3 linked regions of the Danio rerio genome follow. The main gene of each other region encodes a partner of the protein of the gene in region 3 in a complex. Links are inferred from orthologs where the notes say so. Each region holds a gene or a part of one and is shown on either strand. Other genes may lie near its edges. The genes, in order: ecsit, tmem186 and ndufaf1.

Region 1 (4,433 bases), on a different chromosome or scaffold from region 3:
TCCGAGTACTATGAACTTAATACATTTGAGTAAACAAAGAAATTTGAGCACGGTAAAAATCAAATAATTAAAGAGAACTCAAACCAATTGACTACTATAAACACAGTAAGTTAAGGCAGCTTAAACAGTTTGGGGACACTGACTGCTACAAACCATTTGAGTAAAAAAAAAAAGTAATCTTTATGAGTACTGTGAACTTACTCTTTTTAAGTTTAAGTAATGAGGTACTTAATTAACACATTACCGAGAGTTTAAAACTCTTTTTAATTGAGTAGAAATAATTTTTTTAAATAAATTTTGAGTTAACTACACTCATTTAATTTGATACAGTTGACTGTTGGGTTTTACAGTATATAATAAGCTATCAGAATTAGTGTTTAATTTAGCTAAAGCCAGTGGTTTAAGAAGTATTGCATGCATTCTTACGCTGGTCAGGCCTGTTTTCTGATTTTTTTAAGACACATTTCAGTTAGCCAGAGCTCCCAACTAAACACCAGCCTGTCTGGCCACATTACGAGACCAACAATCAAGTTTAGACTTGCTTAAGCTACTCTTATAGCTCAAATCAAACAATCGTGAACGCAATAATACAATAATTACAGTAACCGTTGTCGGAAACTCTGTTACCATGGTGTTTTTTCTATGAGGGAAGCTTGAGATACAGTGTCAGTAACTGTTACACCCTGCACTTACACACACACGCTTCATATACAATAAAACAACTAAATATACATATAAAAAGTCTATATTCGTTAAATAAAGTAAACTTAATTACGGTTTAGTTTAGTTTCAACCGTTTTAACCGCATATTTAAATGTCAACAGTGGCGAGCGTTGTTTCATTCGCATTTTAACAAACTCAGAAATGGTAACGTTATGTTCAAAGTGTTTTGCTGAACTAGTTAACTCAACAACAAACTAAAAAAACAAAAGTTGGTTTAACAACAAACGTTAAAAACAAAAGATCTCGTTTATATTTATGTTACGAAGACATAAACAGAGTAAGTGACAGTATTTATCAACTCACCAAGACTGTTCGTAGATCCATCCATGACTAAATCAAACACTCCTTGCAGATTTCACAATTGTGGAATTATATGAGTATGTCCCATTGGCAGAAAGGCAGTGTGTGCTGTGAGCTGCAGCATTGCCTTGTGTTTGCGGGACCCTCGCGCACAATAAACACTGAGCCGCTGAGAGGATTGCAGAAGTTGCTGTAACTCTGAAATCACGAATCCAGGAAATGAGCACAGAGTGAATCTGTCTTTCGCATGAGGAGGCAAGTGCAGCTCAAAACCTGGATTCACTCCAGAAACCGCGTCCGTGTGAAAAACGTTGATTTCTAATTCATCCTTCTCCCCAGGCGAAGCGAAACTGAAATAAATCGCGCTAATCCGCTGCTGTTCCGTTCCCTCTCCCAAAACCCCGCTTAAAGCAAACTAAAAACAAAACTTTGACAGCTGCAGATGGGAGTTTTTTTTACTTGATACATCTCTGCCACCTAGTGTTGATGGATTGAATAACATAGGAACCAATATGTGAGAGAATGCGTCTTTCTAGTGTTTCAGGGGGAATTTTGTGGATGGCGCACCAGGAAACTCGCCGGTGCGTGTTTGAAGGAGACTTGACAGCAAAATGATCCGAGTCAATTCAGGGATCGTGAGTACGTTTTAAAGTATTATTTACGCATGTTTTGTAATTTATGGTCTCTTTTTATATCGGACAATTATAAATATGCTAAAATCCAAATGCGAAAGCCATACATAATGTGATTGTTGTATTATATAATTATGCATTACACTTGTTTGGCATTGAATTTCCAGGATAGATAGATAGATAGATAGATAGATAGATAGATAGATAGATAGATAGATAGATAGATAGATAGATAGATAGATAGATAGATAGATAGATAGATAGATAGATAGATAGATTTCACAATAACGTGATGATCATTAATTTTAATAGATTTAAATTGAATCATTCAGATATACCTCTATTAATAAATATTGAGACCACTTGAAAATCCAATTTCTTTATGTTCCAAATTGAATTTTTATTTGAAATGGGGAAGAAATTCAGTAGAATAAAGTATAATTTAAAAAGCAATATTTTGAAGAAAGCTTGAAACCTGTCTCCATTGACTTAATTAACTTCTATCATAGGAAAACCATTCACTTTTTACTTGTATAGTTGGAAAACATTTCACTATTGACTTCTATAGTAGGAAAACCTATCACCATTTTCTATAGTAGGAAACCCTGTCCCCATTGACTTCTAAAGTAGGAAAACCTTTCACCATTGACTTCTATAGTAGGAAAACCTGTCCCCATTGACTTCTATAGTAGGAAAACCTGTCCCCATTGACTTCTATAGTAGGAAAACCTGTCACCATTGACTTCTATAGTAGGAAAACCTTTCACCATTGACTTCTATAGTAGTAAAACCTATCACTATTGATTTCTATTGTAGGAAAACCTGTCCCCATTGACTTCTATAGAAGGAAAACCTGTCACCATTGACTTCTATAGTAGGAGAACCTGTCACCATTGACTTCTATAGCAGGAAAACCTGTCACCATTGACATCTATAGTAGTAAAACCTGTCACCATTGACCTCTATAGTAGTAAAACCTGTCACCATTGACCTCTATAGTAGGAAAACCTGTCCCCATTGACTTCTATAGAAGGAAAACCTGTCACCATTGACTTCTATAGTAGGAGAACCTGTCACCATTGACTTCTATAGCAGAAAAACCTGTCACCATTGACATCTATAGTAGTAAAACCTGTCACCATTGATTTCTATAGTAGTAAAACCTGTCACCATTGACCTCTATAGTTGTAAAACCTGTCACCATTGACTTCTATAGTAGTAAAACCTGTCACCATTGACCTCTATAGTAGTAAAACCTGTCACCATTGACCTCTATAGTTGTAAAACCTGTCACCATTGACTTCTATAGTAGGAAATCCTGTCACGATTAACTTTTATAGTTGGAAAACCTGTCACCACTGACCTCTATAGTAGGAACAGGTTTTCAGCTTTCTTCAAAGATCTTCCTTTGTGTTCAAGTCCAATTCAAACCACTTTGGAACAAGTGAAGAGTGAAGAAATGACAGATTTACAGTTTTGAATGAACCATCCCTTTAACATAACAGTATATCATGACAAACTCTCGAGAAACAGAGAACTTCCAAGTAGTTATTAAGTTATTTCTAATTACTTTAAGATACATTGTCACAAAGAGTTAAATATTCTAATACTTTCTGCTGTTCCTTTTTAGGCTCATTTCAATACAGCTGTAATTGATCTGAAGTGATTTGTGATGTCGTCATCATGAGCGCCTCTCATCATCTGCTACGGTTGCAGTGCGTCAGGTGCCTTTCCCATTTTTTGGGGACACCTGTACGGCAAGTGATCCTGCCTGGCCGAGCACATCTGCAAACCCCTGGATCACAGCACATCTACGTCCAGGTACATGTTTACTTCTGAATAATGATGGATTTGAGATCATGGGTGCCTGCATTAAAGGGATAGTTCCCTCAAAAATGAAAATGTACCTACTATTTACTCAGTGTTTACAAACTTGATAAGTTTCTTTAAAATCTTAAACACAAAAGAAGATATTTTGAAGAATGCTGAAAACCGGTTACCATTGATCTCTATAGTAGGAACTAAAATAGTATGGAAGTCAATGGTTACAGGTTTTAAGCATTCTTCAAAATATCTTCTTTGTGTTCAATAGAAGAAAGAAATGTTTGGAACAAGTGAAGGGTGAGAAAATAATGACGGAATTTAATTTTTGAGTGAACTGTCCCTTTAACTCCTCTGTTTGTTTGTTTGTTTGTTTGTTTGTTTGTTTGTTTGTTTGTTTGTTTGTTTGTTTTAGCTCCTGAGGCCATTCCATCGCAGTGCAGTGTGTTCCACGGACCGTCAAAATCGGACAGACATTGAAAAATTAGTTGAAGATGAGACGCATCATAAAGACAAAACTTTAGTCACACATGATGATATTTTTGACCGAGCTGCTGGAGACTCAAAAACCAAAGTCGAATTTAACAGGGTGGTGGATGTTTTCAAAAGCAAGGACATTCGGCGACGAGGGCATGTGGAGTTTATATACGCCGCCCTGAAAAAGATGCCTGAATTCGGTGTAGAATGTGACGTTACCGTTTACAACAAACTCCTGGATGTGTTTCCAAAAGAGGTGTTTGTGCCACAAAACTTCATACAGAGGATGTTCAACCACTACCCGCGGCAGCAAGAGTGCGGAGTCCAGGTGCTGGAGCAGATGGAGAATTATGGTGTGTGTTTTTGATTTGAGATAATAGAAACTGAATAAATTGTGTTGTTGATTTGACAACTCTTCATTTTTATTATTTTGCCAGGTGTTATGCCAAACATAGAAACCAAGGTTTTATTGGTTCAGAT
Region 2 (3,286 bases), on a different chromosome or scaffold from region 3:
TTAGTCATGGCAACGGAAGTACTTTTATTTTGGAGTATGCTAGACTTTCTATCAAGTCCAGCTTCACATCGCTTAGGGTAGTTGTGCTCAAATTTAGATTTTAAAATTAATTTATCGGTATTTTTTTTTAACAAATTACTTTAAACATTGATGTTACCAGCGTGCGAATTATACATTGACGAACGAATGGGTCAACTTTTTTGATAGTAGTTTGGTAATACATTCTTCAGTGAATCAAATGTATTAATGTACTAAAATTACACCTCATTTATTATTAAAATGTATACGCTTTCAGTGTATTGATATTTAGTGATTTTTTAGAAGTTGCTGAAGGTCAAAATACAACTATTTTACAAGAAGTGTTTTGTGAAAACTTGAGATGTCTATCGGTGCCAGTTTCAGACTGTTGTTGAATGATATTTTTTCTTAGTATTGATTGGGGCGATTATATTTTCACACATGGTATGAACCATTATAAGGGTATATTTATTATGTTATAAATTTTTTATTTTCAATATTTAATTAAAGAGCTATTAAAGAGCTGACCCCCCCTATTCATCTTGTTTTAATGTCCTTCAGGGGGGACAAAGAAGTGTTAATGAGGGGTCAATCCCCCCACCCTCCAACCCCCCTGTAATTCGCACCCTTGATGTTACCCACGACACTTTTATGGTACTGAAACAATCAATTGTTTTTTAATGCTAAAATTTTTGCCAAAATTAGAAATAACGTGTCGAATAATAATATATAAATGCTTATTAATTGTTTTTATTTTCACTTTAATTAAATATTAATGACACCGAATAATTAATAACAAGGAAAATGTCATGCAAAATGAGAAATAAAATGCTTACTTTTTCACATCAAAGGAACAAATCAGTAAATAATAATAATAAAAAATAAATAAAATTACGGGATATATGTATATATAAATATATAAGGGATATATAAATTACAAAAAATTGCATAAGAAAAATTATTTCAGAATTGCACACATTCTTATAGCTTTTTTATTTGTTATGTCTTGTAGGGTTTCAATATGCATAAGATAAGTTTTAAACAAATAAATATTAGGCTTATCATTGGATCAGTTTTGTTTGTGTACATGGTACTTCCCATATATTATCATTAAATTAATAAACAAATTTTGCTCCAAGGTTTAGTTGTTATTATTGAATATCAAAAAATATTTTTACAAGAAAACTGAATTTTTAATTTAGTAAGTTTAAATATAAAATGTTCAACATCAAACCAAAATATTTGGGTATATGTGCATTCAACAAACAGGTGTTTTATCGATTCCTTCTCTAATTCACAAAAAGTGCACGTAGATTCCATGTCTCTAAAATATTTTTAACAACTTGTTTCAAAAACGATTTTGACAAGCGTTGATTTAAGGACTTTTATTTTGAAACGATACATAATATAACTCATGTCCAGCTTCACAGAAGAAGTGCGCGATGCACTGAACTTGTATGGACATGGTGAGTTCATTCAAAACTGAAATAATATTTAATAATAATGCGCGTTATTTAATTATGCTTATGTATTTTCTATGATTATCGCATATAAGAAGCTGGAACGCATAATCTGAGCCAACACAACAACTGCCTTTGTCAAGCACTGTTTTTATCAACATAATAAACAAGGTCAAATAGTCAATAGTCATGATGGTTACATTATCAAAATATTTTGTGTTGTTTTAATAATTAACATTAATAATAACTACTGTTGTGATGCTTACTGTCTCCTCAGATGATGATGTCAACAAGATTAATCCACCTTTCCCGTCATTTCCCTCAATATGGCTTTCGATGCCATCCTTCAGGACTTATTTCAAGTGCTCGCATGCAATACAACATCAACAACGGCCTGGCACACATGGGTAAACAGATGCCCAACACATCCACACACACCACGCGGATTCACCCGGCCTCATTCTCCTCTGACCTTGCCTCAAGAAAATACAGTCTAATCTATGCATTTCCACTAATCAGGGGCCTGCGGGCTCTTTCAAGACTCAAACTCTTACAGACGGGCATCACTGTTGTCCTGCTGCCCACTGTGTATTACCTCCACCTGCAGGGCCAGGCATCAGTGTTGGTCTTAAATCGCTCAATAGGCATTGCCTTGTTTGCTGGAGTCATGCTGTACTCCATAAGCCACTTTGTCAGAAGAGTGGTTGGCATGATGTATTTGGATTCAACACAGACCATATTAAAGGTGTCACATCTTAGCTTTTGGGGTCACAGAAGAGACATTTATGTACCCGTCTCAGATGTTGTGACTCTGGGAGATTCAGGAGACTCCAGGGGAGAATCAATTCTTCGGTTAAAGCGCTACAGCACTTCTAATACCATGTACTTTTCTACCAGACTGGGACGAGTGGTGGATAGACACGCATTTGGGAAGGTTTTTGGGAGTTTGTCATGAATTTGTGTAGTTTTGTATGTCATGTCATATGAAACTTTCCCAAAGTGAGAAATTAAAGATCTTATGGTAAAGTTAAGTATATGTAGCTTTTGTTTTGTGCATTTTATTAATAATTAGTGATGTAACAGATCACAAATCTTACGGTTTGGATCATATAATGTTTTTTTTAGTCACAGATCGGACTAGCCAAAAAGGGGAGGAGACAAATGTCATTTCTTTTCCATTTTATTACAAAAACTGCACTGCAAGAAACATTTGGTTTCAAAAAAACAAAAGTAAGAACCCTTATATTTATAAAAAAAAAAAATGAAGAAATAATTAGCTAAATATAAATAAATGGTAAAATATTCAGTACTGTGGAAAGATTCACAATTTCTGCTACTGTTGCTGATGACACTAAATGTAGAAATCTAACATTATAATTTGTACAACCCATATTTATTTTTAGTCTCGTTTTCAATAAATGCTTGTTATTTACTCATAAAACTTCATGTTTCATTGCTAGATGGATCATTTTTTATTATTATTCAGTGGCATATTTTTGATGGCTGGTTGAATTCAACCTATTGGTTAAATAATGTAATTACTGCTTACAACCTTTATTTTTGAGCGTCAAGTTAAATGTATATGACGTTAATTTTAATTTTTACCATAAACATCAGTGGTTTATTCTAAACTATAAACTGTTATCCCAGTACTTCTGTGTTATTTGATTGATTGTAACTCCATAACTAACTCAAAAGACCAAAGACTCAATCTCTTTCTTGATTTTTGTGTTGTCAGATTTGAATGCAGCAATTGGTAAGATAGATAAACATATGCAAATCACCATCATTTATAATTTATGTTGCGT
Region 3 (4,288 bases):
CTGTTTTTCCAAAATTTTTCCAGGCCTGGAAAATGTCATGTCAAAATTCCATGACTTTTCCAGGTTTTGCATGACCGTATGAATCCTGAACTCGTCTGTCACACTGCAATATTCTTCTGTTATTTTGCTTGTTTTGGCAAAATATGTCTGTAAGCACATGTGATTGCATGTGTTACCATCCCGTGAGTTAACAAACACGTTAAATGTTTACACAGCCAAACTTTAATCAAATTGAATACTTGTAGAGATATCATTATTAATTTGCCTTATACAATACATTGTTATGACTTTCTTCGGTAAGATTTTATTTGATGGTCCCTATTTCACATTTTGTTGGCTAAAAGTTGCATTGCAACTACATGCCAATTAATTCTCATTAGAGTATTAGTAGTCTGTCTGCTTAATATCTGTTGATATTGCTCTTTCAACATTGAACTGACTATAAGAAACTTTGCAAGTACATGTTACCTTACACTAACCCTTACCCCAATCTTACAGTCTACTTATAATCTAATGAGAATTAGTTGGCATGTGGATGCAATGTAACTTAAATTCAACCAATGAGTTAAATGGACCATGAAGTACTAAATAAAGTGATACCCATTCTTCTAATAACTACCCTAACTAATTATTTATCTTATTAATTGTCTAAAAGAGCTTTTTAATGGTCATTAGCAGTTTTATCATATATCACGGTGGGTTTGTTATTTATGGACAAAACAGTCAACTTTATTACATGAATATTTCTCCATGCTCTTATATCAATGAATCATGTGACTTTCTACCCAATCAGAGAGCATGTTTCTGGGAAGTGTTTGATGAGCGTCTGTCCGCTCTAGTGTTTCGTCTTATTTCTGCAACCGAAATAGAAGTTTAGCCGCGGCGCTGTGACGTCATAAAACAGTAAAGGTTCTAAACGCACGCGACTGCTTTCTTTACTAAAGCCGAAATGCGCGCGCACTGCAGGCCACAATAAAAAGCACTCCAAGCATCCCGAATTCAGGTGTAACTGCCTCAATAGCAGCACGACGCCACCATACAGGCCCCTGCTAACCAGCTAGCTTTCCCACATCACTTAGCATGGGACTCCAACACACACATACAGTCCTGACACATTTGTGCCCTAGAAATCGGCAAACAGCGATGTTTTTGGATCACATTCGCGTCAATGAGGTTCCTACCTGATCCAAATTATCATCGCTCGCACTATCCTCCGAGTCGGAGTCAATCACGACCCGACCTTTCCGTTTCTTTACATTCACCATGGTTAGCTGCCTGGCTCCCCTGTGTGTGTGTTTAAACAGCAGCGCCGCACTCCTCCACACAAAGGCGCTAGAGCTACACCGCGCATGCGCACACGCCACCACAAATACATCGACAAGTTTACAGTACCACTTACGTGCTGTTTCTGATAATGTCAAATATAATGTAAAGTACATTAACCACAATTATGATAACATTTGTTAACCACTAAATGTGGGGTTGGTAGGGGGTGAACTGCGAGGAATGTTCGTTGTCGGTAGGACCATAAGCGGATGTCCTTGTTTCAAGTAAGGGCAAATTAAATGACGGGCCGCGAAGGCGCATTTGACTTTTGTGTAAGTATTGCTTAAATATTTTTAATTTATTTATTGATATGTTGTTGATAAATGTGGTCACCGTCAGTGTTTGTACGTTAGCTTTGCTGTAACAATTAAACTTAATCTTCAAATCATGAAGTGTGGGGATTTTAACACGTGTTATTGTACCGCTGACCCTCTCTAGATTAATTTATAACCTTGTTGCTATGGAAGCCAAATATGATAATCCACATGCAAGAGGAATTCCCTGAAAATTACATCTTCATGTATAAAAACTGGCAGATTTATACAAACTTAAATTGCCTTAATAGGTATATACTGTTGTGTAATTGTATTTGTAAATAATTTCCATTTGGTGAGCTTCTACGATAGCAGTTATTTAAATGTACATTTTATTATATTCTCATCTGAATCCATGATTATTCACTTAATCTAAATCATAATAGTAATTACGCATTTATATATTATGTCCACTGTTTTTCTCTAAACCTTTCCATAGACCCTCTTGCACCTCCTTGAAAAAACTCGAATTCAAGAGATCAGCACCATTTTCAGGTACATTAATTTAATAATCACAATGCAAAAAAAAAAATGTTTTTTCTTACTTTGCTTTATCTCTTTTCTAGTCCAAATATCTAAAAAAAATCTTAATCAGGGAAAACTATTGCTGTGTTTTAAAATTCAGATGAAATGAGGCGAAGTTGAGAGTTTTCTCCTTAAAACAAGCAAAAACTTATGCTAGTGGGGTAAGTTAAATAATCCTGTTTTCACTTTGAAATGTAGATGTTTAGACTAGAATGACAAAAAACTTAAACGAATGTACATTAATTTTGTATTAAAACATTAATGAATACAATTCTAACGCTTTTGGTCAACTATAATCCAGACTTAACATTGCATGTCTTTGCAATGACTATTGCAGATGTGCACATTGCGATATCGATGCTGAAACTATATATTGTGCAGCCCTAGTTCCTGTTCAGTGATAATTGACTCAATAATTTTTTCTACAGTTTAAAACCTTCAAAGGGGTAGGTCACCTCAAAATTAAAATATTGTTCTCATTTACTTACCCTTTACTTGTTTCAACCTTTAATTAGTTTCATTCTTCTGTTACACACACAAAGTATATTCTGAAGAATTCTTAAACCTGCAATCATTGTTACATGGAATTTGGTAAGTGGTTACAGATTTTTACCATTCTTCAAAGTATCTTTTCTTGTGTAGAAGAAAGAAACCCATAAAGTAACCATTGAGTAAAAGGGTCGTAAATTTAAAATTTGTGTGAACTATTCCTTTAAATCAGAACAGGAAGTATTACATTTATAAAATAAAGTATGGGTGACTCGGTGGCTTGTCGCCTCACAGCAAGGTCACTGGTTCAAGTCCTGACTGGGTCAGTTGGCATTTCTGTGTGGAGTTTGCATGTGCTCCACGTGTTGGTGTGGGTTTCCTTTGGGTACTCTGGTTTCCCCCATAGTCCAAAGACATGTGCTATAGGTGAATTGAATAAGGTAAATTGTCTGTTGTGTGTGCGTCTGAGTGAGTGTGTATGGATGTTTTTCAGTACTGGGTTGCGCTGTGTAAAACATATGCTGTATAAGTTGGCGGTTCATTCCACTGTGACAACCCCTGACAAATAAAGAAACTAAGCTGGAATGAAAATAAATAAATGAAAATAATGGCTCTAAATGATGCATATACGATTTTACTGTTTGTTATAAATGTTTTTAATTTTTTCAGCAGTCTTCTGGATGTCTAATCTGATCCCAAGAGCTACCCAGACTAAATGGCTGTATCGAGAACAACACTCAAGTCCCTGTATGGAGTTTGTGGAGTGGTTTACAGACAGCCTCTGTTGTTCCCTTCCTCACTCAAATGTGCATCTATACAGATCACCAGGAGCAAGTTTGAGCGAGATTACCAGAGACCCGGTCAGCCTCCAGACACACGCTGGCCTTGGCAGATGATAAACTTTGATTTCTCCAAAGGTGTGGAGAGTGTCAGGAAGCACTTTGGCTTGTTAAAGGATGAGTTTTTCCAGCGCTGGATTGGACCGGAAGGAAAGCCAATAATAGAGCACATGCTGGAACAGACCCGTGTCGTGTGGGAGTTTCGGGGTCCTGAGAGTCTAAATGAGTGGATTGTGTCATCTGATCAGGAGATTGGGGGCCGCAGTGTGGCTTATGTCAGTCTGGGCAAAAACAACACCACGTGTTTGCTGTATGGGACCTTGAGCTCCACCCCTCCACGTGATGGAGAGACTCGATACAGTGGATACTGCTCTATGCGCTCCAAACCCCCAAAGGTCAGTGCTGAGATCCCACATCTGTGTCTCTTTATTATTTTTACCAACATTTAATGCATTTACTTAAGATTTTTTACATTCTGCAAACGTTATTCAATCAATGCATTTGTACAGCAGGTATTTAAAGAAATGGGACATAATACATTGCCAGATTCTTTTAAAAGTGCAGTAGGTGATCTTTCACAATGCTAACAGCTTAGCATAAATCTCTGAATCACAGTCCCTCCCCTGCCGTCCAGAGCCACGCCTCCTGAAACAGGAGCACGTGCACCTTAAAGATGACAGCAAAACAACCCTCTCTCGTATAAAAAGCGACTAGTGCTTGTCCGGCGGCATGCAGGAATTACACATTACTAAGCCAAACTGACATGCTATTTCAGAGCGAATATTTAGAGTTGCA

Evidence for each region.
Region 1: ndufaf1 (region 3) and ecsit share a complex: the UniProt entries of both Homo sapiens proteins name them as parts of the mitochondrial complex. The link is inferred for Danio rerio from reciprocal best matches to the Homo sapiens genes NDUFAF1 and ECSIT.
Region 2: ndufaf1 (region 3) and tmem186 share a complex: the UniProt entries of both Homo sapiens proteins name them as parts of the mitochondrial complex. The link is inferred for Danio rerio from reciprocal best matches to the Homo sapiens genes NDUFAF1 and TMEM186.

Annotation. Positions count from the first base shown.
Region 1 is NC_133182.1:17,784,151-17,788,583, reverse strand, and holds the start of ecsit (evolutionarily conserved signaling intermediate in Toll pathway, mitochondrial), read left to right. Parts: upstream 1-1,614; 5' UTR 1,615-1,662; intron 1,663-3,285; 5' UTR 3,286-3,338; coding exon 3,339-3,476; intron 3,477-3,891; coding exon 3,892-4,306; intron 4,307-4,390; coding exon 4,391-4,433. Other genes in the region: eml3 (echinoderm microtubule-associated protein-like 3), read right to left, coding at 1,027-1,051.
Region 2 is NC_133197.1:27,568,038-27,571,323, forward strand, and holds tmem186 (transmembrane protein 186), read left to right. Parts: upstream 1-1,452; 5' UTR 1,453-1,475; coding exon 1,476-1,484; intron 1,485-1,573; exon of another isoform or gene 1,574-1,649; intron 1,650-1,755; coding exon 1,756-2,433; 3' UTR 2,434-2,638; downstream 2,639-3,286. UniProt on the Homo sapiens protein: As part of the MCIA complex, required for efficient assembly of the mitochondrial complex I.
Region 3 is NC_133188.1:36,685,625-36,689,912, forward strand, and holds the start of ndufaf1 (complex I intermediate-associated protein 30, mitochondrial), read left to right. Parts: upstream 1-1,371; 5' UTR 1,372-1,598; intron 1,599-2,079; 5' UTR 2,080-2,135; intron 2,136-2,206; exon of another isoform or gene 2,207-2,265; 5' UTR 2,266-2,326; intron 2,327-3,323; exon of another isoform or gene 3,324-3,326; 5' UTR 3,327-3,369; coding exon 3,370-3,888; intron 3,889-4,288. Other genes in the region: RNA polymerase-associated protein RTF1 homolog, read right to left, coding at 1,182-1,265. UniProt on the Homo sapiens protein: As part of the MCIA complex, involved in the assembly of the mitochondrial complex I.